Linked DNA regions of Lonchura striata. The protein of the gene in region 2 purifies or fractionates together with the protein of the main gene of each other region. This does not show direct contact. Links are inferred from orthologs where the notes say so. Each region holds a gene or a part of one and is shown on either strand. Other genes may lie near its edges. The genes, in order: ORC2, FXR1, TDRD3 and CEP63.

Region 1 (7,491 bases), on a different chromosome or scaffold from region 2:
GACCTGCATTGACTTCTCCTACCTGTATTTCTCCCTGCAGCACTAGGTGTTAAATATTATACAATAAAGTATGAATTTACACATGAACACCCACACAGTCCTACCCAATCAGTGTTTAACACACCAGCCCAGCTCATAACTCTCTCAAGTGCAAGTATTTCTATTGAATAGAGAGGAAGTCATTAAATGTCACAGCAACAGATGAGAGAGATGTTCATGTTTCCCCTATAGCAGCAAGGCAGAAGAAGACATCTGACACGCAGGTGAAGCACAGGTCATGCACATCAAACTGTTCAGCCCATGGTGTTAACCTGAATACTTAAGCCCTGGCTTTAACTAGAATACTTAAGCATGAGAGAAGCTGGAACTCAAGCATCCACTCCACCATGCAAAGAGAAACATAACCCCCACTCACTCAGCTTCATTCCCAAACCATCACAGGACTTACTGCTGTTTTGAGGGGTTTTGGCCATCTTCTCAGGGCACTTGGAGTGATCAGGTGACACATTCTGTTCTGGTGTCCGGGCTAATTCAGAGGCTGTAGGAAATAGGGGGAAGGGAAGGAAGGACATGTCAGGTACAAAACTTCCAGCTCTGGCTAGTCAGAAATGGAGCCACACCCTGAAATGCTCTCTCCATATTAATTCCCTGGCTATTTAAGGAACCAAATACTTTTAGATTTTTCTAACCCTAAAGGTGGCTGTATTCCTCCGAAAAGATTTTCAAAGGCTGAACTCACCAATTAATTAAGTTTACAAATATGGCTGATGGCAGAGCACATTTTGCTCCCTGGGAGACCACATGTCCTTGAATTAGAGCAAGGTTTGGTCAAGCTCACTTAGTTCTTTTGGACTGCTCAGCTGCATATAACAGATCTTCAGATGCAGTAAACACATCAGCTCCCTAGGAGGAACTATTTACCTGTGTCTACTCCTTATCAGTACAAGCTGAAGTTGAATGATTGATGTGAATCTGAAACACCCTGCTAATGGCCCCTACCACTGTATGACCAACAGCCTATTCCATGTAACAGCACTGGGACTAACAGGCTGTCATAGTATGACTTCCCTCAGTTTTCAAATTGATTCATAGCTCCAGCAGGGAGCACCAGTGAAATCCACCCTGCTGCAGAAGGAGGTCTAAGATAGGAGACACAACTTCCCAAGACACAGCAGTAACTAAGAGGCACCAAAACCAGTTTCTGAATAGTGATTCAGTAGGACGATCCCTCTCCTTCAGATCATCCTTTGTAGAATGTATCATTAGCTGTGACAAATAAACACTAATGAAGTTCAGATGGTGCTGGACGTACAAGGACTCTTCATGTAAGTGACAACCCTGCTCAAGCACCTTATTTGAACCAAAACAGTCCACCTTCTCTGTAACTGCCTCTTTCTGCTTGCTTCTCCTAAGTCTGCAGAGAAAGAAGAGCGAAACATACCCAGCTCTGCCATTTTATTGGAGCGTTTGGGAGTCTGGAATGAGTAAACTTCACCACCACTTATATTTGAGCCATTTCCCACTGGATCTGTGAAAAGACATGTTACTCGCAGCTATTTTAAAACCACTGATAACATTCCCAACCCAAGAAAGATGGAATTAAACATTTCACTATTTGGCTTTATATTGCAGGTGATACAAAACAAGTATAATAATAAAATACTAGAATCATAATATTCTCTTCTACCTGTTACCACAAGCACACACAGAGCAGGTTGAGCCCTCAAAAGCAATTTCACCAACACTGTATAACCCTAACTGTAGGAATCTCCTAAAGTCAGAGCTGTGTTAGGTCTTCTCCTGCTAATACCTTGGGCACATATTCCAAGAGCAGCAACATAGTTCTTCTCTTCCAAGATCTCCTGAGCTTCATTATCAGAAATATTCTCAAGCTTCTTCACAAATCTCTTCACACTGACACTCAGCTGAGCCTTCTCCTTCCGCACTTTAGTTCCTAGAATTGCAAAAAAAAAAAGCTTTAACCTCCTGCCATTTCATTATTTCTATCGCAGCAGTACACAGCCACCTGACTTAAGAGACCAGGTTCCTGTTATGAAAATCACCCAACAAATTCAATGCTGAGATGCCCTGATAAAATAACAGCTGGTCAATAGCTGACCCTATAGCCTTCACCACAAATGCAGTCCATGAAGGTAAGACACCCATTTTCACAAACACTAGCTCTACAGAGAGGAATAGGAGAAATGACAGTGGCTCACGAATTACAGTATCAAATTGCATGCAAAGGGGATGGTACTTGTTAACCCTTATTTCTTTCTAGAGAAGAGGAGCAACTGGAAAATACTTTGCCTGTAGGCTGCCAGGGCACTCATGGGAGAATGTAGGCTGAGAGCCCCCTGGACATCTGCATGACCTTCTCCTCAAAGCAGGACCAGCAGTGGAGTCTGAAAGAGATGCTCCGTGCCTTGTACTGGCAAATTTTAAGCATCTCCACAGAAGTTCCCCACCTTAATAGTCAGAACTGCTGCAAAACCCTGCTATGGCATACACATGCAGCCTCACTCCGCTTTGACTGCGAGTGTTTAACCGCGTCAGGCCCGAGGAGCTTCCCGGCTCCCTGTGCCGCTGGCCCGGTACACGCTGCTGCGGGGAGATCTCGTACCGAGCGCTCGTACACGCCCCGCCTGCAGCGCGCCCCAGTGCCGGGCTGGGACAGACTCTGAGGGCGGGAGTCAAGCGAGGCAGAACGACTCCAGAGGCCTCGTCCTTCCGCGAGGCTCTGCAGAACTCGGCTCGGGTGTTGCAGAGCCCCTTTCCCGAGGGCAGCCGCGGCTGCTCGGATCCCTCCCCCAGCGCCCTAGGAGCAGCGGCGGCGCTGGGCTGGGCTATGCCCCGGGCCGGCTGTACCTGCGTCGTCGGAGATGTGCTTGAGGACGTCCTCGTCGGGCACGAACTTCACCTGCAGGGAGTGGCGGCTGCTGCGCATCCCCTCGGGCCGGCTCATGGCGGCTCCCGTCACGTGGGCGCGGCCCCGCCGCCGGGGGGCGCTGCCGCCGGGGGGGTGCGGACCGGCCGCGGACCGGCCCCGCTTACCCCTCACCCCTCACGGTGCCGCTCCTGCGGGACCGCCGTCCCGCCCGCGACCCGTGCCCCCGGCAGAGGCGGCAGCAGCAGGAGGCGGAACCGGGCTCCCGTGCCAGCCAGTGGCCGTCCCCGAGGCGGCCAACCCGGGCGCCGCGCCTTGAGTGACCTGTGGCGACGGCGAACCCGCGCCCCGCTCCCAGCCCGCCTCGGCCGCAGGGCGGGACTTCCGCCGCCGGGCACGCGCGCGCCCCGGGCTCGTGCTCGGGTCGCTGTGGCGACGCGAAGCCGCCGCCAGCCCGTTCCGAGCAGCGGCGGGTGCCCCCTCGCGGCCGCCCGGGGAGAACTCCCCTCCCGGCCGCGGCCCGCCCCGCCTCACCGGCCCGAGTCACACCTCTAAAAACCAGTAATTCACAAAGTATTCATTTCTGTTCAGAAACAGCACGATATTTATTTAACATCTTTATATATTTATATATATATATAATTTTTTCTGCATTGCAGATTGTGTCGAGTTTTATACATCTCTATTTACAATGATTTAAAATAATTATATTTCTTCTCTGGCAGATATTTACAAAGTCAATAGTAACTACATTTCACATTTCAACAAGTCAACAGCATGAACCAGCTCAGTAAGACAGTTAAGATAATGGCTTACATGCACCAAGAAGATGATCTTCAATACGTGCCTTCTTCAGGACTAAGAATGAAGACTTTCCCTGGTCCCCAGGTTAAAGGACATCATACAGCAGAGGTCATGGTTATTAAAAACCTGTTTGATTTAGTCCTTCACCAGTACCGAATCTCGAACGTCTGGGGCTCATACCAGCAAGCAAGGCTATGCTGGTCAAGAGGGGCTCACACCACCCATCCATGTCCTTTTGCCCAGCCTGTGTGTCCACAAGAAGTGGGCTACGTGCTGCTTATGCTCCTTCCATGAGATTAAATAATGCTAAAGTAGTAAAAATCCTCAGAAACCTTAGTTCAGAGAAACAAACCTGGTATGATGAAAAAAGTAAGAAAATAATCCTTTAACCCTTGCAGAATGTTTCTTTTTGCTAGTAAAACTGAGAGCAAGTCCTGTATTCTTACAAGGACAAAAACAGATCAAAAAACTCATTGTCAAGTACAGGAATTACAAATTTTAAAAATGCAGCATGGGGTATATATCCATTTAGTTGTTGGGGTCGTCTAATAGCAAATAAAAACTACCATAGTAAATCTATAATGTATTAAGAGTAGCTGATTATTAAAAATCTTTATTAGCTTTTTCCTGGAATCTTCAATATGAAAAAAGTGTTAAATTACTCTGTTTTATTTAATCATATGGTATTTGTCCATAAATAACCAGCCTAGTAATACCCACCCCTAAAGTATGTACTATGTGCAAGAAAACAGAAGTAATCATTGAACACTGACACACACACACACCACACACCCCAGAGTACTAGGAATCTATTAATATTTTGACATGTTGATTTATCCTGAGTGATTGTTAACTCACATCTACTGTATACTTGAAGCCACAAAGTTTTTACTACTTGCATTTTTCATAAACTAATAACATGAAATTCTAGCACAACCACAGTAACTGTCTGAACAGAAAGAACAGTGTCAATAGCCAGTATTTCTGTTACTCCCAAGTACTAGTTCTAGAACTAAAGGTAAATGGTTGCTCTACTTTTTTCTGTTTCATGATCAGTTCTGGGGAGGATGAGGACTCAAACACATAGGATTAACTACTGATTTGTAAGGAAGTTTCCATGACAAAGCACCATAGAGACATTTTACCAGCAGATACTTCTAAACAGAAATCTCCCCCGACCATTTTACCCTCTAAAATCAAAACCTGTGAGAATTCTAAACCACATTTTAAAGCAATTTAAATTTTGACTCCTGAATAGATTATTAATCACTCATTTAAAAGTTGCATCAGAATGCAAAGACAGTCTTCTTTAAAACCGCTTGGATCTTACAGACTGTAAAACACTGGGAGCTCACAACCAAGAGGCTGCTCAATAAAACTTGATCTCATCACTCTGCTCATCATGCACAAGCTAAAATATAGGCAATGTTTTACTGTACAGATACAAAGCTTTACTATACATCTGTCCCATCAACAGCTCCTCACCAGAAAACCTTAGGAATCCCTTTATAATAGAAGGGATAATTTATGGACCCATTTTTAATTCAGTTGGTCCCTCAGATACTACCTTTGGTAAAATCTGATGAACACAATTAAAATTCAAGGAGAGGTATAGCCTAGAAAAAAATAAGGAAAAGGATGGAAGCAAAATTGTATTTTTTTCATTAAATCTCAAATACAGATGGATTAAAATGGGACAGATTTTTACTAAATCCTTTTCTGAAGCTGTAAGGTACCCTTAAGACTTGCACAGCTTTCTTCTGAATTTTTAATATCGCAGGCCTTGACACTTGACAAACTTACTAGGCAAGTTTATCTAAAATGGTTGGCTGCTGTTTTACAATCTTGTTCCAAGATTTATTATAAATAAAATTTCATAATTACTATGTGGAGAACCTCATAAGTATCAGTCTTGCAAAATCTGCTTATTGTTTTCATGAACAAACCAAGTTGCTCACAGCTCACCATCATCTTCCACCACTGTGGAAGAGGCAGGTAAGTATTTTGTCTCTTCAGCTGGTCATGACAGAAATTTTGACAGACTGATACATGTATTCACTAACACAACACCCATGTCATGATTTACTACCCTGAATCAGCTACAGAAAACCTTTCAACATCAAAGTTTATCCAATTGCCAGTGAGGAAAAAACAAAAATAATGAACAGAGATTAAGGCCCATAGGCTAGAAACAAATAGCATTTAAAATACTGAAGTTAATACAAAATATAAAAAAATCATATAAATCAATAATGTGATGCAAGTACAGAGGATCTGGCTTGTTTGCTTAGCATGCTTGATAAGAAGTGATATTTTGCAGCTTTAGTCCTGCAATTATCCTAAACAAGAAACTGAAATAAAAGAGGTACATGTACTCTTCTGATGAAAAGTAGTCCTATGATACAAATGCTTGTTACAAATGACACCTAGCTGATGGCTTTAATGTTATATTAAACATGCCAAGGTAGCAATATCTTTGGCAGTGAAAGAATTTAAGAATGAGATTATTAGATCTACTAACATCAAAGTAATTTTTTTGTGTGCAGTACATACATTTCATTCAAACATATTCCATTATAGTTTCCCCCCCTCCTCTAGGATTACAAGCACAGTACCTATACTATACAGCTTGGTTTTTATGATTTTATTCAAAAAGTTATTATTGATTCTTAGTCTTCAAATTAATTTGAATTTGTAAGCCAAGATAAACAAAAATGTCTGGTTTGCAATCAAAGTTAAAATTCTGAACAAAGAGGAGATAGCCATTGGTTCATGATAAAATAGGACACGTTCAAACTCTTAGGTTAAAATACAGCCATAGCATAGAATTATCTATTCCAAAATTAATTTTTCAAAATATAATTCTCTGAACATGTTATACATTAAATATTGAGGAAAATTTCCCTGGAGCTACAATTTTCTAAGAAGACTAATAAACTTCATTAAAGAAGTAAAACAAACCACATAGTATCTTGAAGACAAAAAGCAGAGTTGGGGTCACCTTACTGCAGAGTAGCTTTACCACCACTAAGATGTAGGTTTCCCCCTTAATCTTGAAAAATACGTTCCTATTTACATACAGTATACACACAGTTGAGGCAATTGATTGTCAACACGTGACAAATGTATGTACCTACTCACACACAAGTAAACCTCACATGGTGAGAAAAAACCCTGTCCCAGTAAACTCCAGTATTCATAAGTAGTGCAAATAAATACTTTATCAGAAAACATTTTTTTCCTCACTATTTTGATGACTTTAATTATGTTAAAGCTAGCAGGAGTATGTTGGAAATGCATTCTAGACCAACACACTTGCAAACTACAAATACTAGATCTAATGCTTACTGGCTGCAACATGATGTTCAGCATTACAGAATGAAGTATGCTGTTAAAAAACTTTCGAATTCACATCAGAAAGGGTGTTCAAAGAAATCCGCATTTAAAATGGACAGTGATACACAAGTATCCATTTTATGACATTTTTCCAAACAAAAACTAAAAGGATAATACAGAAATTTAAACAATCATCTTGCAACATTAATTTCAATAGGTATTTTTACTTCATCACTTTGCTCTCTACCAGATGAAAATATGGTTCACCTTTAAAAAACCATTCAACCAAAAAGCTGCTCACAATAAATCCCTGAAAAGGATGATCAAGCTAGAGTTCACAATCCCAACATTTGTATTTTCTTAAAATTACAAAGTCCAAAAAAATGAGTTGCAAAATGGCAGCATATTGTGATGTGCATGAAGGAAATGTCATTTTTCCCTACTGAAGTATATGTATACATCAG
Region 2 (6,994 bases):
AAAAACTTTCCTGCCATCTAGTTCTCACCTAGAAAGCATTAACTTTTCTACCCTCAGGAAGCCCTCATAGCACATTTAATATATGCAAACCCATAATCAGTAGACTTCAGCAACCCTGTCTGTTCTCTCCTGTTCCACAGCACAAGCACCCCCCCCCCCCCCCCCATTTTTCAGAAGCCCACAACCATTTCAAGCCCCATCAGTGCCATCTGATCTCCAAAGACAATGAGTGCTCAAAATTATGATATTCCAAGCTGCAGGAAGTGGCTAAACACTGGCTCTGCTGTGTAATGGTTGAGAACCTGGCATAAAATATACAGTAAATGATGTCCTGTTCTCCAGATTTGCTTCTTTAAAGCAAATGGAAAAAACAAGAAACCACAAATTAGTTTGGTGACTTAGATACATAAGTTTAAAATCAGATCATACTATGCACTTATAATTTTTTTTAATTACCTTGGGATTTACCATAACTGCCCACCAATACATGAGAACTCAAAATGTTTTTTATGATGAATGAATTTTAATAAAGAATATTAATTTTCCGTACTAATGTATTGCAACTATAGTGTATGGTCTTCCTGCACTTAGGAAGAATCCCCTGTTAAAACTGAAGAGCAATTATTAGTGGAACTAAAGAAACTTTATAATAAAAGAGTACCATTTACCATAGTCATACTTCTAGTAAGTCCTGAAAACCCACCAGAATGCTCCAACAGATTTAACCACTACATTTGTTCTACTGCAGCTAAGCTGCAGACCATAGTAACAACTCCTTAAAAGAAAATCTGTCATGATATTGTTTACATAATTATTTTGGTTTTTTTTCTCTCTGTTGACACAGCAGGATCTTTCTGATCTCATTTACCTGGGGTTATGCTGTGCTAATTAATCCAAATTCAAGCTGTTCTAAAGGCAAACCTCAAATCTCATCCCATCTCACAAATTCTGCTTTTTCTCTTCTGAAAACTTTTGCCACGTTCCTTGGAATGTCACACAGATTAGAAAAGATGAGTCTCTTGTCATTGTCTTGCAATGATCAGAGCTACTGGTGCCCAAAATAGGACACTTCCTAAAACAGACTGACACACCTCTTTGCTTTAGGTCACTTTAAACAGCAAGTGACCTAGGAGTGTTACCTAGTCCCAAAAGAAATGCAAAACCTTGCCTTCCTCAAGAGTAAGATTCACAAAATGGAGTCACTGACATACACACCTCACTGCATTTAGCTCACAATAAGAATTTTTTAAATTGTGTTTGTTTGAATGTTTTGGTTCAGGTCTGGGTCTTTATGAGGGTTGTTGTTTTCCCCCCTCCACATTAACAGTGGATTACTCTGAGTTGGGATTTTGATCACTGTGCATCCAATCATTCTAATCTGCCTTCATCCACTATCTTCATCAATGGACTTCATTCCCACTTCACTGATCTCAAAGTCATGATGCCATTTTTAATTAAAACTTCTGCTTTTTTAAGTCACTCTTCACAGGGCTAAAACACATGATGGTGCTAATCCAAGGCTGATAATTCATTCTGATTTAAGAGATGTCATCCTTGCAGATTTTAAATCAGGCTTATTGTAGCAAATTCTGTGCACACAGATCCCGTCAGTCCAAAATTTCATCACACCTCATACTCCCATGTGTCTGACATTCCTTTAAAGCAGAAGAGCAACTGATTCATCATTTGGAAAGCTGTCCAAGATCACAAGGTATAAAATGGAAAGCTAAGAAAAGTGTTTCCAAATTCTGGGCTTTTTAATGCTCGGGGGGGGGGGGGGGGGGGGGGGGGAGGGGAATCAATTCTATTGAGGAGCATCCTGTTCTGGACACAAATGATTCTGATGTAGGTTTCTGTGTGATACTTCAGGTTCAACAAAAAAATGATCCACTGTATAAAATTTATCACCTACTCCTTTTGGTAAAAAATTCAGAGGGTTCCCTACTAGGGGTGTAGTCTATGCCACTGCATTCTTTCCTCATAAGGGTATCTCCCATCTGTCTTGACCAGCTGAAAGAACTAACTCCTGAAGTCAGCTGGTTACAATCCCTTACACCCAACTGCCTCTACATACTGTACAGTCACCATATGATTCCCAAGCCAAATCCACAGCTGCACACAGGAAATTCTGAAGGGGGGAAGGGGAATCGAAAGGGCCAGCCCCACACCAAGTGCAGTATTGCCTGTGCAATGCCACACTGTGCGTGTGGTTAGGCACAATAGCTAAAGAGAGTCCCCAGATTAAATCCTCCCAGAACACAGCCACGCTGCGTGCTCACAATACTGGCTGGAATCAGCCCTCCTGGAGAGGAAGACAGGAGCCTAGTGCCATAAAAAGAGCTGGGATTCTTAAACATCTGAAGCCAGGCTTAGGGGAAAATGACTGACAGACAACAGCTGAGAGTACTCTGCATTGATCCTGTACCATCCTGACATTCCAGGGAGGGTGATGGTGAAGGAAGATTTCTGAAGGCATAAATAAACTCGAAATCCTTAAAAAAAATTATTTTAACTCTTTTAAAATCATTATTATCGCCCCGGTTCACCCCAGCCCACCCAAAATCCCTTTCATCTTCCAACACCAATCCCCCCACACGCCCACCCACCCTTCCCGAAAGGAAGGCGCAGGGAATCCCCGCGCCGCGCATCCGCTCCCCCGGCCCCGCCAGCGCTCTGCCTTCCCCACACGCGAACCTCCCCTGCCCGCACCAGCCTCGTCACCGCCGCCCCCCCGCCGCCGCCCCGCTCCATCCCCGCGGCCCCGGCCCCGCTCCCCCCGCACCTTCCCCGCTCACCGCCCCCTCCCCCGCGGCCCTTCGGCCCCGGCCCCGCCGGGCGCGGAGCCGCCCGCGCCACCCCCGCCGCCGGTACCTTGTAGAAGGCCCCGTTGGAGCCGCGCACTTCCACCGTCAGCTCCTCCATGTTGGGGCCGCAAAGGACGCCGGGACGAGCTTCTAGAAACTGTCACCGCGGGGGGAGCGCGGCGCCCGCCCCCTCCGCCCGCCCGCCGGGCCGCGCCTCCGGCCCCGCCCGCTCCCCCGGCCGGCCCGGCACCGCCGGAGCGGGGGGGACGGCTCCCCGCGCCGGCCGAGCGGGCGCTCCCTGCGGGAAAGCTCCCGGGAAGGGCTCCCGGGAAGGGCTCCCCGCCGTTATCTTCCCGCCCGCCGGCGCGGGGCTGAGGGGCGGCGCGGGCGCGGCCGCGTGAGGGGGCGGCGGGCGCTGCGTGCGGAGACAATGCGGGGCGGCCGCGCTGCGCAGTGAGCGCCGCTCGAAAGGCCGCGCCCGACGGGCACCTTGGGCTGCCGGGGCGGATAACACACACGGTGCCGCCCGACATCAGCGCCCGGCTCGGCTTTGTCCCTCACGGAGCGCCGCCGCCCTGCCCCGCCCTGCTCACACCCCCCCGGGCTGCCCTGCCCGCCTTCCCCGTGCGCTGCTGCCGGCAGAAATAATCAAAAATAAAAGCTGCCTGTGATGTGTCGGACCTCACAACACACTGGGGAGCGAATTGTGCTGTGCGCTAGATGCTCGCATAAGCTTAGTCACGCAGAGCCTGATGAACGGCCTGTACCTATGTCAAATCCGTGTGTTTTTGCAATTGCTTTAAATATAGAACCATGGATTCATTTGGGTTGGAAGAGGCCTTTAAGATGAAATTCAACCATTAACTCAGCACTACCACTGTAACCCCTAAACCACATCACTCAGCGCCACATACGAGTACCTCTTAAACACCTCCAGGGATGGTGACCACCTCCTTGGACCACCACTCCAATGCCTGACTATCCCAACCGTGACATTTTTTTCTGGTATCTAATCTGAATCTCAGCCTAAAGTCATTTCAATAGCAATGCTTTCAAATGCTCATTCTGCTCATCTTTCCCATTGGGCATCAGACTCAAATGGCCAGGAGTCCATGATGATATTTTACCTATCAGATGTTTTCATTTTTAGTTTCTTCATGTTAATCTTGCTTTTGTGCCAGTTGTAACCATGTCTGTCGGATGGGCAAGGATTTTGGACAAAAAAGGCCAAAAAGTGTTGAGAAATGTGGCTATTGGGTGAGGTGCAAATGCTCAAAATGGTCAAAGAATGTGGGGTGGTGGCACCTGGGGACATGGTTTGGTGCTGAGCAAGGCAGTGCTGGGTTGATGGCTGGACCTGATACTCTTGGAGGTCTTTTCCAACCTCAGTGTTTCTATGGTTCTGTGATCCTGATGTGCCATAACTGAAGGAAAGATATGGGTCCAACAGCATGAATGTTTTTTCCCATGCTGTGTGCATGAATATTCCTAATCTTGAGTAATATTCCACATAAATTTTGGAGAATACCTTTTATTCTAAATTTTGTTCTAATATTTATAAATTACCCACGATTTATTCTGTGCATGGTGCCAAGGCCACACATGGGCAAGAGAGTCCTTCTGAAAAGTACCTCCTTTCCTGGCAGCAGAGGCAACTCAGGATTTTCCAGGATAAAGGAACCAGATAATATGAAGCAAAGCATTGTGCTATAAAATTCTATGTCAAAGGTTTTCATTGCCCCAAGATTGAATAGACTGAGGTTTATTTTTTTGGCTACCAAGACACAGAGTCTCAACGTCAACTACTAAAAAATGGTGTATGGAGTTAATAAAAAAAACAAACCAAAAATAAACTAAGCATGAGCTGCTCTCCTTAGGAAAAAAAAAAAAAAAAAAAAAAAAAAGACGTGGTAAAATGGTAAAAAAACCCAAATTACTCCAGAACTGTGTGAGGTGTCTGGGAGTCCACATTTGCAGAACTGGGGGACAGTTCTGGGCTTTAGTGATAATGAAGACTGGCTTGAGCTAATGCAATCTGCATCTGAATTTGCCTGATAAAGTGTGTTTTTCTGGAAGTGTGAGGATGATAGTGGTTAAAGGGACAGGGTTGTTTACATGTTAATTTTGAGGCAGACTGCTGTGCCTGGGTTAAATGGGGATAGCAAAAGGCTTTAGTAGGTTGTGGGCCATAATAATTTGCAGCACATCAGCCAGAAGGTAGATGATGAATCTGTTCTAAGTTTAGTTTTCACTGAATGTAAATTATGAGTGACTACTAAATTAAATTGCTTTAAACATTGCTGAAATAAGAAAAGGGAGGATCCAGATTCAAGAACTCAAGAATTCCTCTGATAATAGCGGCTTTTTTTTTTTTTTCATGAGAATTTGTAAGCTTTCGTTTTCGTTTCATTTTTTTGTTTCATTTTGCAACAGCCACAGTGAAACTGCCACTTTCATTTCCTAGAGCTGATGTGGTCCAGGAGATATTTTGGGTAACTGGTTGAACCATTCTCTGTCTTCTCTGAAAACTCCACAGCTCAGGAGGCAAAGCAAACTGCATCATGCCAGAAGGACACTAAGTCAGAAGTTGCAGGATCCTGGTCCTGGGGACCCTTGGTTGGAAAGAGCAGAAAAAGGATTCCCTTATTTGAGTGAGCAAAATGAAGGGTGGAGATTAAGCACTGAAGGATTCTGATGTTGTCTTCAAATACATCAAGGCACACAGAGGGATAATGATCCATGAGAGACTGAGGCTGTAAAAGACAGAAACATTACTAGCAAAAGGAATTCCCAGAAGGTATAGACTGACCATTAATCGACTTAGTCTGGAAAGAAGTTTACAGTGGGATGTTGAAGAAATTTCAGGAACAGCCTTTCAGAATGAATTAATGGAAGTTAGTAACTCCTGCCTACTTTATTTAGGATGGAAAAAGCATTTATGATGTTGCTATAGCATGAGCAATATAAACCAAATTTTCAAGAGAGAAAATTTTGCAGGCATTGATTTCAACAAATAAACAATCAACCCACACTCCTATCCTTCCAAATGCCATTTTCTAAAATTCAGGAAGTATGTGGACAGACTAGAGAGGCTACAGGAAAAATCCATAAACCATTGAAAATGTAATTCATGGTGAAACAGTATCATAGCAGAGTTTTCATATTTTGAAATAGTGACTTTTTGTCCAAAATCTGCTATTATCCAGTTAAGAAAACCTTTTTAGGTTCCTATCATTATCAATCTTTGGATCAATATTGCATATGCTGTAGTTCATACAAGAATTCATGGAATCATCTGTGTAACTGAAGGTCACAATGGAATTGTCACTCAGGGACCTTCTGACATAAGACTCTGTTAATGTTTACCTCAGCCAAAAGTGGAAAAAATTTAGCTATTTTCAAAGACTTGGGCAAGAGTGAAATCAACACTGAAATCAACAACATAACTGTTTAGAATAGTGGTCTCTTAAAGTAAGATTAGTTGTGAAAAAATGCACACATTGATATTCCTCTTATGCTACTAGTAATCTGAAAATTTGTTTGAAAAAAATGTTGTAGTTTTAAACTATCAGTTATTTTGATGCCAAATAACTTGAGTGCCTTTTGTGATACAGAAAAAGGGGCATTTCTCTGTTTTTCTGAGCACATTTCTTACCTTCCAGTAAAATAAAAAACCAGAACTATCCTATCTTAGGATATTTTGTTTAAAAATATAGGCAAAACCTAAGGTCAATTAAATTCAGACTTGTGCTCTCACTTACAATGTAACAACCTGTGTCTTACGTTCCATTCAGTGAAGTGCTGACACTTAGCAACTCATGCCATAAAAATCAAAATAATGATAAAAAATTAATCTAGCTTCACCTTTAAGTGGGTAAAAACCTTTTTGGTTCCATTGCTCATTCTGAAATTTTGGCAGAAGGCTGATGACTATGAGAGGCATCCATCCACAGACTTCCAACCTTAGCAGAAACAGGAAGCATGCTCTGTAAATTATTATGCATCATTACTTCTTAGTGGAGACAAACAACACAGGTAGATATCTGAAAGATATAAGATCATATTGGCCTTATGTCTTACCAAATGACAAAACCACATTCCAACTCAGCAAAACTCTTGGAGGAGTTATTTTCTTACCTGCTCCCAAGTTCGCTTATTTTTATGTATCTTTTCTTTGTTCTACAAATTGT
Region 3 (7,546 bases), on a different chromosome or scaffold from region 2:
GGAGCCTTTTACTCATTTTCATAAAATACCACCATCATCATAAAAAGAAAAAAATGTCTCCCAGCTTTACCTACCACTGTTATGTTTACTAGGTAGGGCTCCTTTACCTTTCAGAAGCTGACAAAAAATGTAATTGATATACTGAAGGCAAACATTACAAATTCAGAGACAATTTTATAACAGATTACTCTGACAATACCTGCTTGGGGGAGGGGAATAGATCTATAATTACTGTTCAGTATTAACTACACTTTATTACTGTTCTACTTGAAAAATAACTTTATTTTTCATTCAGAATTATAAAAGGTAAACACTAGTTGCAGAAACTGAAATAAACAAGTGTCTACCTTAACTCTCTAATTCTGTAATGTATAAGAAACTTACTGTAAAATCCACAGTACAGGTAGATTTTTACAAGCTAGCAGATTTTAAGCTAAGCAAAGATTTTTTACTTGACATGCCATGCAGTGCTTTTGCAGTTTAAGTGGGGATAGATTTTAACACATAAACTCAGTTTTTCTTTTGTACTAGAAATATTATCATTCTGACAGCAGGTGACAGCAGCAGTAACCACCAATTTGGTACAAAACTTTACTTAATCACCAACACTAAACCGACATTAAACATCACTGAAGGCTCACTCACAGATGTGTAAATAACTCTAAGATCTAATAATATGAGAAAAATCATAAGAGCAACAGCAAAGCAGTTAGAAGCATGGGTGCTCAGGTTACTACTCTTTTTTTAAGTGCATGAACACAGCTAAGCAAGATTTCCAAATCATTATTTATTTTTCCACTCCACTTCACATTCCTCAAAAGTATATGTATTAATTCCTCCCCTTTTATACTACCTTTCCCAATACAACCTGGTCAAGGCATAATTCCAGTGGACCTGATAATGAGCCCATTACTTGCCCCTTCAACTTCAGCCTCTGGCTCCCACCCTACAGGACTGCAAGAGTAACAACTGTTGACAGCCATTCAAAAGTCTCTGCCACCAAGGAGGGCAGCAAACACTGCAAAGGGACAGATTGTTTCAGAGGCACCTCATATTTGTACTGCCAAAAACTTGAAAGCCATTAAGCAATGGCATGCATTCAGCTGAAAAGGCAGCAAAACAACTCAAGAGCTGAAAACTGGGAAAAAATTTTGAATAGGCAATAGAAAGCAAGAAAAGAAAACTAAGAAAATAAAACTACTTTTATGTAAAACTTTTCCAATTTTGGAGAGGTCTACATAACAGAAGAGTAGAGGGGCAAGTTTCAAGTCACAGTCCAAAATTCCCGTCAAATAAGCAAATGTTATAAAAAGTAGCAGAACTAGTTTTGATTGTATCAATTTGGCAATAGCCAGGAGTCATAGGACTGTGCTCTCCAGAACCATTTAGAACAATGTTTTGGCTCTTGATACACTTATTCAAGAGGCATAGCAAAGGACACCTAATTACTCTGTTTGGTTACTATTACCACAAAGTAGCAAAAGCTGGCCCAACAAACACAGCATCACCAGGGGGTTAAAGGAGGTGATTCCCACTTATTCAGCACTGGTGGGGCCTTACCTGGACTACTGTGCAAAAAACTGGAAAGCTACATGAAGGTCCTTAAATGTGGAGGAGGGCAACAAAGCTGGTGGCATGTCCTGTGAGGAGCAGCTGAAGACTTTGGCTTGTCTCGATAGGAGAACAGGAGGCTGAGGGGCAAACCGCTTTCTACAGCCTCCTGAGTGGGGGAAGCAAAGACAGATTCTGCCTGGATCTAGTGACCAGATGAATGGGGATGGTTCAGAGCTGTGCCAGAGAGCGTTCAAATTGGATATAAGGAAGCATTTCTTTATACTGAGGGCATAATCAAACACTGGAAGAGGTTTCCTAGGGTGGCAGTCAAATGTTTAAGAGGAATTTGGCCAGTGTCCTTAATAACATACCAAGATTTGGTCAGCCCTGAATTCATCAAGTGACTTGACTAGATGATCATCATAGGTCCCTTCTAAGTAAATTGTCTTGTTCTATTCTAAATCACAGGATACCCACTTTAACTTTTTCCATCTTAGACCGTACATGAAACCACAATCTAGGACAACCACTAATGTAAACAGTAAACCAGAAATATCTCAAACATGCCGTTGGAAATAACTTTGCGTACATTGCTTTGTGCTTTAGCAGGCAGCACTAAACTTTAGGTTTGTCGAAAGACTTTCCAAGTAGTTATGGGAAAAAGTCAGTATTGACTAATAAGTGAATCACTTCAACAAAATAATCAAACAAACAAACAAAAAAGCCCCAAATCAAAATAAAAACTTCCTACAATGCAATCTCAGCTGTAGGCTAGCAAATAAGCGTTTACAGTAGGTATTTGAAAAGCACAACTCGTTGAAACACGTTGTTCCAAAATGGATATTGTGTGCCCAGCGACTGGGACTCTTAAGAAAACATAAGCAACCGAGTTCAAGCCTCACGTGTGGTTCATTTACCCCACCTTAACTCCACTTTTGCTTCTTGCCTGCCTTACAGAAGGGGCGCACGGTGCAGTTTACAGCCCCAGCAGTACGGGCAGGCGCCAGGCCTGCGGGCGAGGCCAGTCCCGGGGCAGGCGGGGAGGCCGCCGCCGATCCCGAGGAACCTCGGGGGTGGCCGCGGGGTAGGGGTGCCGGTCCTCGCGGCAGGGCCGGCGGGACGGGCCGGGAGCTGCTCTCCAGGGCGAGCCAGCGCCAGGCCCGAGCGCAGCGGGCGGCGCAGCCCCTGCCCGGCGCCGAGGGGCTCCCAGCGGAGCTGGGGCGGGACATCCCCCGCACCGCACGGCTCGGACACGGGCGCTGCCCGCCCCGCACCCCGGGCGGAGGCGGCGGCGCGGCCGAGCTCGGCCCCACTTACCAGCCCGACTCGGAGAGCGCCGCCCGCGCCCGCTCGGCCATGGCGCCTCCCCCGCCGCACTCGGGGCCGCGGGCGCTGCGGAGACCCCCGGCACTCGCTCGCAGGGGAGGAGGGACGCGGGGCCCGCTCGTTCCCTCGCCCCGCGGGCCTCTCCGGGCGCTCGGGCCGGCCAGGGGAGGGAGGGAGGGAAGGGGAGAGGGAGGGAGCGGAGGGAAGGAAGGGGCGGGGGCGGCGCAGGCAGAGACGAACAAAGCCCGCGACCGGCGGCTGCTTGGAAGCCGCTGCCGCCATGGCGGGGAAGGGAAGCAGTGAGGGCAGCGCGGCCGGGGAGCGCCGGCCCCGCTCCGGCGGCTGGCTCCTGCCGCCGTGCAGTGTCGGAAGGGCTTGCTTAAACGCGTTCCGGCTATGGATAGCATTATTGACAGTAGCGTTGTTCTGGAAAAGGCTCTCCTTCGGGCCCTCAAACGCGTGCTGCGGGCGAGGAGGGATTTTTAGAAGGGTCTGGAGCACACGTCAGATGAGGAGCAGCTGCGGGAGCTGGGAATGTTTGGCCTGGAGAGGAGGAGGCTCGGGAACACCTTCTCGCTCTTGACAGCTTCGTGAAAGGAGCTCGTAGCCAGGTGGGGGTCGGCCTCTTCTACCAAGTGACAAATGGTAGGATGAATGCAAATGGCCAGGAAATGGCCTCAAGTTGTGCCACAGGAGGTTTAGATGTCTAAACCTCCTATTTTTCCTAAAAGAAAGCTTTTTAGGAAAAACTTATTCACAGAAAGAGTGAAGCATTGGAAAGGCTGCCCAGGGAAGTGGTGGGATTCCTGTCCGTGCAAGTATTCAGAAAAGCTGTAATGTGGCGCTTAGGGGCATGGTTTAGTGGTAGACTTGGCAGTGCTCCTTAATGGTTGGGCTCATTGTTAATGGTCTTTCGCAACATTAATAATTCTTTTTGAAAGACTGGTTCTATGTTTCTTTTATTTTTGGCAATTTGTTGTTTGCGTTGTTTTCTTTAATGATTTGCCCTAAAATGCTGGGCACCGATATGAATATTTTGGGAGGGTTTTATGTGTATTTTTAAAGGGAATTATACTTTAACAGAATAGCACTCTTTCATCATTGCTGTTACAAGTGCCCAGTGCCCTCCGGTGCCAGTGATATGTGAGGTGGGAACACCGTCGCCCTGTTTACTCTGTGTTCCAGCATCCAGAGAAAGAGCCAGAAGGTGAACATGGGCAGGTCAGGAGTTAAGAAAATGCTTATCAAGGCCTGGGTGCTCAGGGTTTCTGCCTGCAGGTGAGGTCAGCTGCTCTGCAGAAAACACTGACCATTTGCATTAGTGCATCATGTCCAGCTACTTCTGTAACCCATCAATGCCAAATGGTTTTTTTTCAGCACTGAGGTTTTGAAACTTGTCTATCTGCTGTGTTTGTCTATTAAAGGTGGTCTTTTCTTTATGGGTTATTTTCACCCTCAAGATGTTTCAATTTTTATGCAGCATCTTCAAGCCAAAGCTTAATTTGCTTTTGTTGAGGGTTTTTTTGAGTCTTCTTTGGTTTCATTGTTTGATCTACCTGAAAACCTCTCTTTGCCATACTGAGTACAAATCACTCAGGATTTTTGCACACAACACTCTGTGCTGCTCATTCATGGTATTTTCTTTTGTGTCTATAGGTTATGTACTCTAGGACAAAAATTTTGTCATAAGTAGGTATGGTGTGGCCTGTGTAGATGCTAATTTTAAGAAAACACGTATATCTATAAGTTGATAATTGATAATAAATCTTGACACAGATGAAGGAAATAAAACCTATATTATTCAACTGAACAATGCATAATGCTATATATATTCTTGAAGCTTTCTTGGTCATGAGCATTAACATAAACCTAAAATAAAATTTAAAAAAAAAGGCAGCTTAAAAATGGAAGACTAACATGGGATTTCTGCCAACAAAATCTCAAAATAATGAATGTAGCCATAGGAAAGTGTTAATCCTTGTGGTCATTAAATAACCACAAAAAAATAGCAGAGGGAGCATTATTATTTGGGAAAGTGGATTATCAGAGGTTGTGCAGTCCTATGTCATGACAAGGCTCCAGGTGAGCATACGCTCATAAGCTGCAAAAGGAATAGAACTAGAAGAGAACTAGCCCACCCAAGAGCCCCGAAACAGACCTACTGTATGTCTGTACAAAAGAAACTCTTGAATTAGTGACGAGGAATACCCTAAAGCAGAAGAGTCACACTGAAATGTCAGTGGCCAAGTCACACCCATGTTGCAGCAGTAACAGCCACTGACATGGAAAAGCACTAGCAGATAAGTGTGGTTTCAGTTCAGAACTTATGATGCAAAAGAAATGGGAATAAAAAGAACTTGCATTTGGAGTCTGACCTGTCTGCACATTAGATTATCAAGATAAGGTTGTAAATATTGTAACTCAAAATGGGATGCCCATAGAGCCAATTAGTAAGGGATGGAGTATGACCTAGGAGAAGATAATGAGAATTACAGACCTTTTGCATTGCCTAGTGTTAGTTTAAGACATGGAAGGTTTTGCTTACTTAAATCTTCATTAAAGTCACCAGGCAATTATACCAGCAGTTTATGCTGGCATAGGGCTAGCTGTTGCACCTCATGGCACTAAACACCATCTATTATAAAGAAAATGTATATGCTTCTTAAAGGTCTGCAGGCATCTGCTCTAACAAATTAATTATATGCAAGCTGAGATGTGTTTGTGTATGTATTCACATGTGCCTCCTTTTGTACAGGAGAAGTCCCCATTAGTGGATGTTTCTCTGCTCACAGAGGGCACTGCCTGAGCTTTGTAGTTTGTAGCTGCTGCTGGCTGTGCTGAACCGAGGTGAGCAATTAGTTCCACTGTAAAACAAAAGGTGATGCAGTGCCTGCCAGACAGTCAGAAACCTGCAGCTAAGACCCTCAGTACCAGCTGTTTGTGATAAAACGTTCTTAGAGTATATTCTCTGTATCGATCACCTTTAGAATAAGCGACGTTGCTGAAGGTAATGAGCACCAAAGTACCTGGGGCTGTACAGGGACCAGTCTAAACTTCTGCACTCCTGTAAGGGGCTCTATGCCTTCAGAGCTTTCTCTGGAAAATGCTTGTTGCTCCAGATGAATCAGTGCATCACTGTCCACAAAATTCACATGGACTTCTTCTGTCCAAACTGCCTAAAATGCAGTTCTGTTTGACTGCTGCCCATGTGCCCTAGGACAGCTTAATCTGTGCCAAAGAGGTTATTTCACAATGTTCTGTAATTTTAAATACCTGAAAGGGTTGGTCTACTCAAGCACCTCTGGTGAGACAGTTCTAACAGAACTAGCACTCAGCACAAGACAGCAAGAGCCAGGTTTTGAAGCAGCCCTGTAGGCTCCTTGATTCATTGAATTGATTCATCCTTACTCCCTTCATCTCCTGCCAGTTCCAGGCTCAATTCTCTTGGTTAACAGTAGGCTCACAAAACTGGGGAGCTGAAACTTTTGACCGCACTTTCCAGAAATGAGCAAGAGCAGAAACCTGTAACACTCATCATGAGTTATGGCATCTTTCATCCCTACCTGATGTGCTGAAAGCACCAACATTGGGATGAAGACCCTGAATACCAGGTATAATAGGAGGTCCCCACAGCAGCAGCAAGTCTGTTTTGGTCTCAATTTCTGTCTTCCATAAAATATGCTTTCTTCATTGCGTTATCTGAAGGGAACAGGTCTGCTTACTGAACATAAAAGCAGATTATCCTTATCCTGGATCTGGAGCTGAAAGTTACTGGGCACTGAATGGAAAGGGCCTTTCTTTCTGGTCACTATTTCTAGGAGTGTGCTGGAGTTTGAACAAAAGTGGTGGCCTCTCCATGGTCTGTGATGGACTGGGTCCTAAACTGATTTGACTGCAGTCAGAAGGATTAGCTTTTCTACCTGTATTGTTGCATGTCAGCTAAAATATTGTGTATGATTTATGTGAAGGACAGTACTCAGCACACAGTCTTTCTTATATGGCAGCTAGAGAAGAGATTAACTTTTCACAGACTAATAAGAAGAAGGGAGATTTACAGAACTAAAGATTTTCTTCATGGGGGAGAGGAAGGAGAGAGGCTTGGAAAGAAGCAGGATGGAGGAAAGACAAACAGCAAGTACGTATCCTACATGGAAATGGTAAAGGATTATGAAGTCTTGGGCATAATACCATCACCTATAGCCACAGACTGTTGTTAAGGTGGTGTTGCAAGGAGAGAGAATTTTCACTAAAGGCCAAGACTAACATTTTTGTCAGGCTGCTCTAATTGATTTGTCACCTGACTGTCCTCTTCTGGAACCCTTCAGTTTGACCACACTCCCCACTTTGTCCTGAAAATCACTAAGTGTATGTCAAGCACCTTAAAGATATAGTTCACACTGGCATTATGCCAGTCAAAAAGACAGCGTCACACTCGGCGAGGCACTCTGGCTGTCAGGATGGGGCATTTATATATGGCACGATGATGCTGTTGTTGGCTCTGTGCATGGCTGCCTATCAAAATCTCAGCAGTTCAGACCTGAAAGTGCAGATGAACCACTGCAATGATCACTAGGGTATGATGAATCACTAAGTAGTGCAGAATGTAATTCCATATAATTATGATGCTTTCAGGGCCCCTTGTGGGCCAGCAGAAGGGCTGGTGTTT
Region 4 (7,583 bases), about 14 Mb from region 2:
ACATCTCATTAACCTTGCGAGGCTGTTACAAAATAAATATTTATTCACAACTCTATTTACTACTGCTCCTGATGTTGGACAGTAAGAATAGTTTACAACAACAACTGAGAAAAAGAGGCTGAGGTTTCAGGAAGATGTACAACTAAATTTCTGACAATTAAGACTATAAGCAGGGTTTAGCACAGAGCCAGCTCCCCCAGTGACTTCGCTTCTGCAGCAGCTGAGGGCCACTGCACACTTACACCAGAGGATTTATTCTGAATAAGAGGCAAGGTTAACACTTAAATCATTTGGAATGACTGCTGTGTACAGTTGCATACATACCTCCCCTGCCCATTTCTTTGCATTCCTTCCAGCAAAGCCTCCATCACTGAATCCTGGTGGCTTCAGTACTAGGGAAGTACAGGAAAGCAGTGGTCACCCATGGTAATGCACAAACCAGGCTGCTTCTCCATCCAACTGCAGGAAAAGTGGAAGCCCAAAAAGCACAGAAGTCAAAAAGCATACAAAGAATATGGAATTACAGGTGAGGAAAACAATGGCACCTTCATGAACTTACAAGCCAAACAGAGGAAAACAGATTTTTCTATCAGAAAAATATACCCAATGCTATCATCCAACACTACCAAATTGAAGTGATATAATCATGTGATCTAATAAATTCAGAGAGCAGCAATTAGACTCTGCACTTGTGTGAACTCAACAGAAGGACTGGTAGATCTACTGGGAGCACCAGCATGTGGAGAAACAGGAACATTTGGATTTCAAAGTTTGTCACTTCAGAGAGAAAACACCAGCAAGTAGCAGTAAGAATTCATCCATAAATTACATATTTTCCAGGCCTCTATTATAGACTAGCTTAAAGAGACCATGTAGTTTACCACAGCATTCAGAACACACTGGCTCTTCATACAGTTGTGGGAATTTTAAGAAAACATAAATTCCTTAAAATTTCCTCTTAAATTATGAAAATAAGTTGAACAGCTTTATAGTAGCAGTACATTGCTTCAGTTAAAAATTCACCTTTTAAGTAACAAACACATGCATACCCAAAGAAATTTCATATTGTGGTGAAAGTGAGAAGAGTTTACATTAAAGCCAAAAATGGGGAATAAAAATTTTCCACGCAACCAGAGCCAGGAAGCCAGAATTTATTTCAATATCTCCTTCATGAAACTGCAGCTAACATAAAAATGGTTAACTTGTCCAGAGCTATTAACACAAATTTCTGTTTCCAAAATCTACACATTTTCCAAGTACTGAAGATTAATTCTTCCACCATCTTTCCTCAAAGATTAATATAACATTATTAAGCAATCAGCAAAAGGGGAACAGGTCACAGCAAGGGAGACTTTGACAAATGCAGGCTCAGCTTCATTCTCTTTCCCAAAGAATCTTCTATCGTGCTCCTACAGCACTTAAAAACACAACTCAGAGATTAAAACCTGTCCTTGGGAGCAGTGTTTTAAACCACAGCCATATAAAAAATGCACAGAGAAAAATCCTATTCCTATTCTGACACTGTTTCATCTGTCTTTGGTGCTGTAACAAAACTCAATCAGTATGCAGAACAACTTTGTGGTTCTGCTGAGGGCAGGGTGCTGAGGAGAGCAGATGAGCAGATCCCCTGAGCTGCTGACAGCATTCCAAGAGCTCTCCAGGTGGCCACAGCAGACATTAGACAGTAGCAGCTCTCCTCTTTCATTCTAATCACACCTACACAGAATCAATTTTCAGTGGGCAGAGAGATGAGGAGACAGACAGCATAGAATTCCAGAACAGTTTGGGTTGGAAGGGATCTTAAAGCCATCTCATGCTAAACTGCTGCCATGGGCAGGGGCACCTTTCACTATCCCAGGTTGCTCCAAGCCCTGTCCAACCTGGCCTTGGACGCTCCCATGGGAGGCACAGCCACAGTTGGCATAGCCAGATTTTGGGGAAAAGCCTTAAAATCAGACACCTCTAGCCAGTTCTATGCTACGTACAGTTTGCTGACTTAGTATTACATTTTGGCCTCTCATGCTTGCAAGTTGCAACGTGCAAGTTACAGGAACCTGAGTAAAGACCCAGAAGAGGAAACAATCTCCTTCATTAACTACAGTTGAAGGAAGGAAAGCTGGCTGATCACCTCTGAAAGTGAAGAAATGTGAAGTATTTGAAAAAAAAAAAAAAAAAGTCCAAAACAAGACAACACATTTAAAAATAAAAAAGGTTTAGCATTCCAGCTCAAGGCAGAACTGTAGCAGAGTGAAGTGGAGAGAACTTTACAATACACAGGAGGACTTAAGAATAGTGCCCATGCGACAAGACTGGGATTACTTCGCACTTAGAAACACAGAAAGATGCAATCTTAAAGCGTTGCTGGAAGCATGCTTACAATGAACACAAAAGGAGCTCCCAAAAGCAATACCACGGGCGAGCTCCGCTTGCCAGCGGCAGGAACGGCACCTGCGGCAGGAGCCCGAAGTGAACCAGCCCTCGCCAGGGCGAGAATCTCAGAGTCACTGAGCTCGGAAAAGTCCTCTGAGACCATCAAGTCCAATCTTGTGACCGATCCCCACTCTGTCACCCAGCCCAGAGCACCGAGTGCCGCGTGCAGTCTTTTCCTTAAACACCTCCAGGGATGGGGACGCCGCCGCCGCCGCCCTGGGCAGCCCTTTCCAGTATCTAATCACCCGTTCTGTGAAGGAATTGCTCCTAATGTCCGGCCCTGGTGCCGCTTAGGTCCGTGCAGCGGCCGGGGCCAGCGGGCCCGGCCGGCACTCCCCGCTCCCGCCGCTGCTCCCAGCCGCAGCCGAGCCCTCACAGCGCCTGCCCCGCGCCCGCCGCGGCACAGCTCCGCTGCCCGAGCCCCTCCGGCGCCGCGCCCCGGGGAGCTCCGCTGCGGGCTGCCCGACACCCCGGCGCTGGCTGGCCGAGCCGCCCTCCTCCCTTCCTTCTTCCGTTCCTTCTTCCTCCCTCCCTCCTTCCCGCCTTTCCCACCCTGGCAGCGGGCACGGCCCGGCCCCGCCCCGGCAGCGCTGCGCATGCGCTGGGGCCGCGCCTGCGCAACAGCGGCCGCGGAGATGGGCAGGGTAGGGCGGGCTGGGGAGCGCGGGGACAGGGGGGCACAACCCTGGGATACAGCCCTGGGACACAACCCAACCCTGGGACACAGCCCTGGGACACCGCGGGGACACAACCCAACCCTGGGACACAACCCTGGGACACAGCCCTGGGACACAACCCAACCCTGGGACACAGCCCTGGGACACAACCCAACCCTGGGACACAGCCCTGGGACACCGCGGGGACACAACCCAACCCTGGGACACAACCCTGGGACACAGCCCTGGGACACCGCGGGGACACAACCCAACCCTGGGACACAGCCCTGGGACACAGCCCTGGGACACCGCGGAACACGGAGCCGTGCTGGCCGGGAGAGGCAGGGAGCGCAGCGCGCCGGGGCTGGGGTGCGCTCAGCCCCGTGCCCATCGCCGCCCACATCGCGGCTCCGGCAGCCGGCGAGTGCCAGGCCTGGCTCGGTTTTGAACGAGTGCCCGTTCTCTCACACCCGCCAGGGTCGGGCTGCCTGCTGCTGCCGCCCCGCAGCATCACACCGGGGCGAGGGCCTGAGGTGATCCTTCAAGGAGGGCAGAGTACAGTTAAACAGTCTGGAGTAATTATAGGAGATGCGGGTGAAAGATGGGTCTCGTTTTGCTTCTCTTTCACCGGTTTCCTGCACTTCAGGTTCGGGCAGAATTCTGGGTACCCTGAAGTCCTTTGTTGTGACTCTCCCAGACAGGTGAGGCACGTCACTGCTCAGGAGCTGTAAGCCAGCAGCCAGCAAAGGCTTCTGAGCAGCTCTAGGTGCTCAAACTCACTCAAATTAGACTTCTAAAAGTCAGTCAGTAGATATAAAATACATGTAAATATCAGTAATAACCATCTGGTTTTATATATTAATTTCCAGTGCATATCAGTCTGCAATTCACTTTGATAGAGTTCTTTTCAGATGAAGTTGTTCTATGTGGTTATAACCCTTTTTTGTGTGGATTAGGGAAATCAAGGTATCCTTGTAAGTTTAAATTTCATATGGATTTCATCAAAACTGGAGCAAGCCAATAGTCCAGACTCCAGCTCCTTGGCTGGGGATGTTGCTAAAACAGCATCTGCTTTGTGTCACAGATTTAGCTGCTCTCGCCGCTGTGACGATGGACAGCGAGGTGCAGAGGGATGGCAGGATCCTGGATCTGATCGATGATGCGTGGAGGGAAGATAAATTGCCCTACGAGGATGTGGCCATCCCTCTGGTAGGTGAATTGCTACTTATCAATCTGAGTTAAGGCTGCTGCGTTCATCACAGTCCCTTCCAAGAAAAGGCACAGAATGTTCCTCGTGGTGCGGCTAATTTGTACAAGAGGCTCCTGGATCTCCACGGAAGATCCAGTCTCTCACGGAAGGGACTCCTTCTGTGCCCTATATGCCAGTCATTCCTGAGTGCATGAGGACATGGATGCTTCTGTTGCTTGTCCCCTGACCAGTTGCTGAATCCTCTCAGAACTGGAGTTCCTTTCCCATTGCACTCTCCTAGGTTTGGCATCAGGGAGAAGTAGAATCATCCTTTTTCTCTGCTTCCCTTTCTTGTTCCTGGTGTTTGAGGTACTTTCCTGGTTGTTGGGAGAGCAGAGGATCAGTCTCACATACAGTTCCAGTCTTGGTTACACTTTATATCTGCTTCCTGCAATGCCATTAAAAGAAGCTGAGACATTTTCGTAAGTGTTTCAAAGCAGTCTTTTCCAGATTCAGTGTTGCTGTTGGAAGTTCCGGGACAGCAGTGAAGGACTGGCAGGTGCAGCAGGACTCTTGCCTGTGGTGATGTGTCCAAGGCATGGCACCTCTCTTTTCATCCAGGGTACAGCTGCAAAGTCAGAGAGGGGCAGCAGGGGAAAAGCTACTGCTGATCCCACAGAGCCCAGAGCTAAAGCTTCAGATCTCCCACACTGACACCTTTCCTTGGCTATTTTGAAACTTACAGGGAAGTTAGAGGTAGCTGAGGATTTTCCCTTTTTCTCTCTGGTACACGAGCTTTACCCCAGCTAGCTCACATAAAGCAGCCGTGGGGATTGTGGGGTTTCTTTCAGCAGAGAGACATCTCCAAATTTGTGGCATGGTTCAAGCGTCAGCCCTGCCACCACTGGCTTTTCAGAGAGGGCGAGGAGCAGCTGCACAACTCAAAGTCCATATGTACAGCACACATTTTCCTGCCAAGAGTTGGGCTTGAGGGAAGCATCTTGCAGAAGCGTGATTCTCAGCTAAAAGAGCACAAACCCTCCTTTGCCTTTATTAGGCAAGCCGAGTATCATAAACAGGTTCCTTGTTGACAATTGCCTTTACCCTGAGTCCAAACATTATTGTTTCTTCCCTTAGAGCCATCTCGTGATGGCTTACAGTCACATACAATGACAGCCTCAGAGAAGGAAGCCTCACCAACTACCAATAGAAAGGCCTGGCTGTGGATATAAAGATCCCCAGAGATGGGATTGGCTCTGATCACATAGAGAAAACAGCATGAATTCACAGGGGACTTACTCAGGGACATTGCAAAGGAGCACCAGAATGGCTGTGAAAGTGGTATTTGAGCCTGTCCTGAGAATCTGCTCCAGTGCTTAATCAAGCCATTTCTGGGAACTCAGATGTGTTCAAATCATTCATTGTTTTCAAAGCTGAAACACTTTATCTAGCTCCAGCTGGGATTTCCAGAGGAAATTCTAGAACTCTAAATTCTAGAACTCAGAATTCCTGCCCAAATGGTATCTGGCAGAATAGCACACACTCAGTGTGACTACACCAATACAGCAAGACAGAGAACAAATAATAGAAGGAAGTAAAATGAAATCTGTTAAACTTTCCTTCCCTTTACTGTGCTGTGAGCAGCTCTGGGGCACACCTGGCAGGGGGTTCTGGCTTCTGCTGTTGATCCAGCACAGCTACACCTGACTCCAGCATACAGACAGGAAGGACTTCTAACCTGCCATAAGAAAGTAACATTTTACAGAACCATTTGTCTGCAGTATTTGTATTCTTGGCAACAGCAGAAACAGCACATTGCAAACAAACAGTGGAATAAATGCATTGTACTGTTATTTACTTACTTTGCATTTGCTGTATATTCTCCCTCACTGTGTGTGCAGTCTGAGTGTATAGCAAGGCCCCAGGGTCCTGGAAAACAATTTACCTTTCAGATTAAACACATTCAAATGAATATTCAAATTAAAAGAATAACCATATTCAAATGAAAAGAATACTGTTCATGATGCGGCTCAGCAATATTTTTAAGTGGATCAGTATGTATGATATTTATTGTTCAGATGCACCCTCTGGTCTCGTTTGTGGGTTTTGTATCTATCCATACTAATCATAACAACCTGCTGCTTGCAGAAAGTGTATTACATGTGGAATGCATTCTACCTGTGTTTTGTTCTCAGAATGAGCTCCCTGAACCAGAGCAAGACAACGGTGGCACCACTGAGTCTGTGAAAGAGCAAGAAATGAAGTGGACAGATTTGGCTCTCCAGTATCTCCATGAAAACGTTCCACCCACAGGAAATTAGTGAATCAGTGGGATTTCTAACAGTGGATGCATGAATGCAACATAAAAATATTTTTTTGGCTGACCATTGCTGTCATAAGCTGCCCTAAGGAGGAAACAGCATTCCAGATTTTCAGATTCCAACAGTGGTTCTGCTCACAATGCTTCTTTAAAATGCTTCTTTCTTGAATGTGAAATAGCAGAGGCTCTGACATCTCAGAGCCAAGTGCAAAATGTTTCATGCTTATAAGATTATTTCATGTTTTCTGTTAAATTGTTCTTAAGTTGGTGCCAATTCTGATCTTAAATGTTTTCTACACGATTAAAAAGTTTTTACTGTCTCAAATTGCAATTGATTTCGAAGTTCTCAGTGGGATTATTGTCTAGAGTTCAGTGTACAAAACCCAAATAGCTGTGAGTTGTTGCCATCTTTAACAAATTTGTGGATGTGTGGGGCAGATGTGAAAGGTTGGTCAGCAGAATCAAGAGTGGGAAGTAACCTGTAAGCACTCAAATTCCTGCTCTCAGGATCTGATGGTGGTGGTGGACAGCATTTCCAATGCTGACATCCTGGGAATGTCTGCCAGTGTGTACAGTGAACAGACAGTCTAATTTATGCTGAAATGGTGGTTACTCAAAATCAGGGTCTTCCAAGGGATGGTTGAGAGTTCCAAGGAAGAACCTGCCCGTCCTAGTGTAGGGCCTCTTGATGTGCGAGCCACTCACATGAGCAACCTCAGATGGGAAATGAAAATCAAAAAAACGTGATGGGGAAAAGAAATCAGTAGGGCTTAGCTTCAGGCAACAAATTGTTACCTCTTTTTGTATTGAGATGAAAGGCAAGGCCCTCAAGGACCTTATTTTATCTCTGATTCTCAGATGTCTTTTGCAACAGGTAAAAGCCTTCTGTTCTTCATGTTCCACTGTTGGACCAATTCCATGTCACCATTGGCAGAACTTCTTGCTAAGGAAAAATATTTTGACAGAGTTTAGGATTACTGGTAGAGGT

What was found.
Region 1: the proteins of FXR1 (region 2) and ORC2 purify together in Homo sapiens (affinity purification with mass spectrometry; 4 studies listed by BioGRID and IntAct, with this or other methods). This does not show direct contact. The link is inferred for Lonchura striata from reciprocal best matches to the Homo sapiens genes FXR1 and ORC2.
Region 3: the proteins of FXR1 (region 2) and TDRD3 purify together in Homo sapiens (affinity purification with mass spectrometry; 3 studies listed by BioGRID and IntAct, with this or other methods). This does not show direct contact. The link is inferred for Lonchura striata from reciprocal best matches to the Homo sapiens genes FXR1 and TDRD3.
Region 4: the proteins of FXR1 (region 2) and CEP63 purify together in Homo sapiens (co-immunoprecipitation; 3 studies listed by BioGRID and IntAct, with this or other methods). This does not show direct contact. The link is inferred for Lonchura striata from reciprocal best matches to the Homo sapiens genes FXR1 and CEP63.

Annotation. Positions count from the first base shown.
Region 1 is NC_134610.1:27,162,027-27,169,517, reverse strand, and holds the start of ORC2 (origin recognition complex subunit 2), read right to left. Parts: upstream 3,009-7,491; 5' UTR 2,966-3,008; coding exon 2,869-2,965; intron 1,955-2,868; coding exon 1,811-1,954; intron 1,529-1,810; coding exon 1,442-1,528; intron 539-1,441; coding exon 449-538; intron 1-448. UniProt on the Homo sapiens protein: Component of the origin recognition complex (ORC) that binds origins of replication. DNA-binding is ATP-dependent. The specific DNA sequences that define origins of replication have not been identified yet.
Region 2 is NC_134612.1:19,947,590-19,954,583, forward strand, and holds the start of FXR1 (RNA-binding protein FXR1), read right to left. Parts: upstream 3,003-6,994; 5' UTR 2,923-3,002; coding exon 2,872-2,922; intron 1-2,871. UniProt on the Homo sapiens protein: mRNA-binding protein that acts as a regulator of mRNAs translation and/or stability, and which is required for various processes, such as neurogenesis, muscle development and spermatogenesis.
Region 3 is NC_134604.1:55,890,692-55,898,237, forward strand, and holds the start of TDRD3 (tudor domain-containing protein 3), read right to left. Parts: upstream 3,004-7,546; 5' UTR 2,913-3,003; coding exon 2,872-2,912; intron 1-2,871. UniProt on the Homo sapiens protein: Scaffolding protein that specifically recognizes and binds dimethylarginine-containing proteins. Plays a role in the regulation of translation of target mRNAs by binding Arg/Gly-rich motifs (GAR) in dimethylarginine-containing proteins.
Region 4 is NC_134612.1:6,433,713-6,441,295, forward strand, and holds the start of CEP63 (centrosomal protein of 63 kDa), read right to left. Parts: upstream 3,015-7,583; 5' UTR 2,983-3,014; intron 2,745-2,982; exon of another isoform or gene 2,378-2,744; intron 460-2,377; 5' UTR 369-459; coding exon 325-368; intron 1-324. Other genes in the region: ANAPC13 (anaphase-promoting complex subunit 13), read left to right, coding at 4,197-4,295, 6,471-6,596. UniProt on the Homo sapiens protein: Required for normal spindle assembly.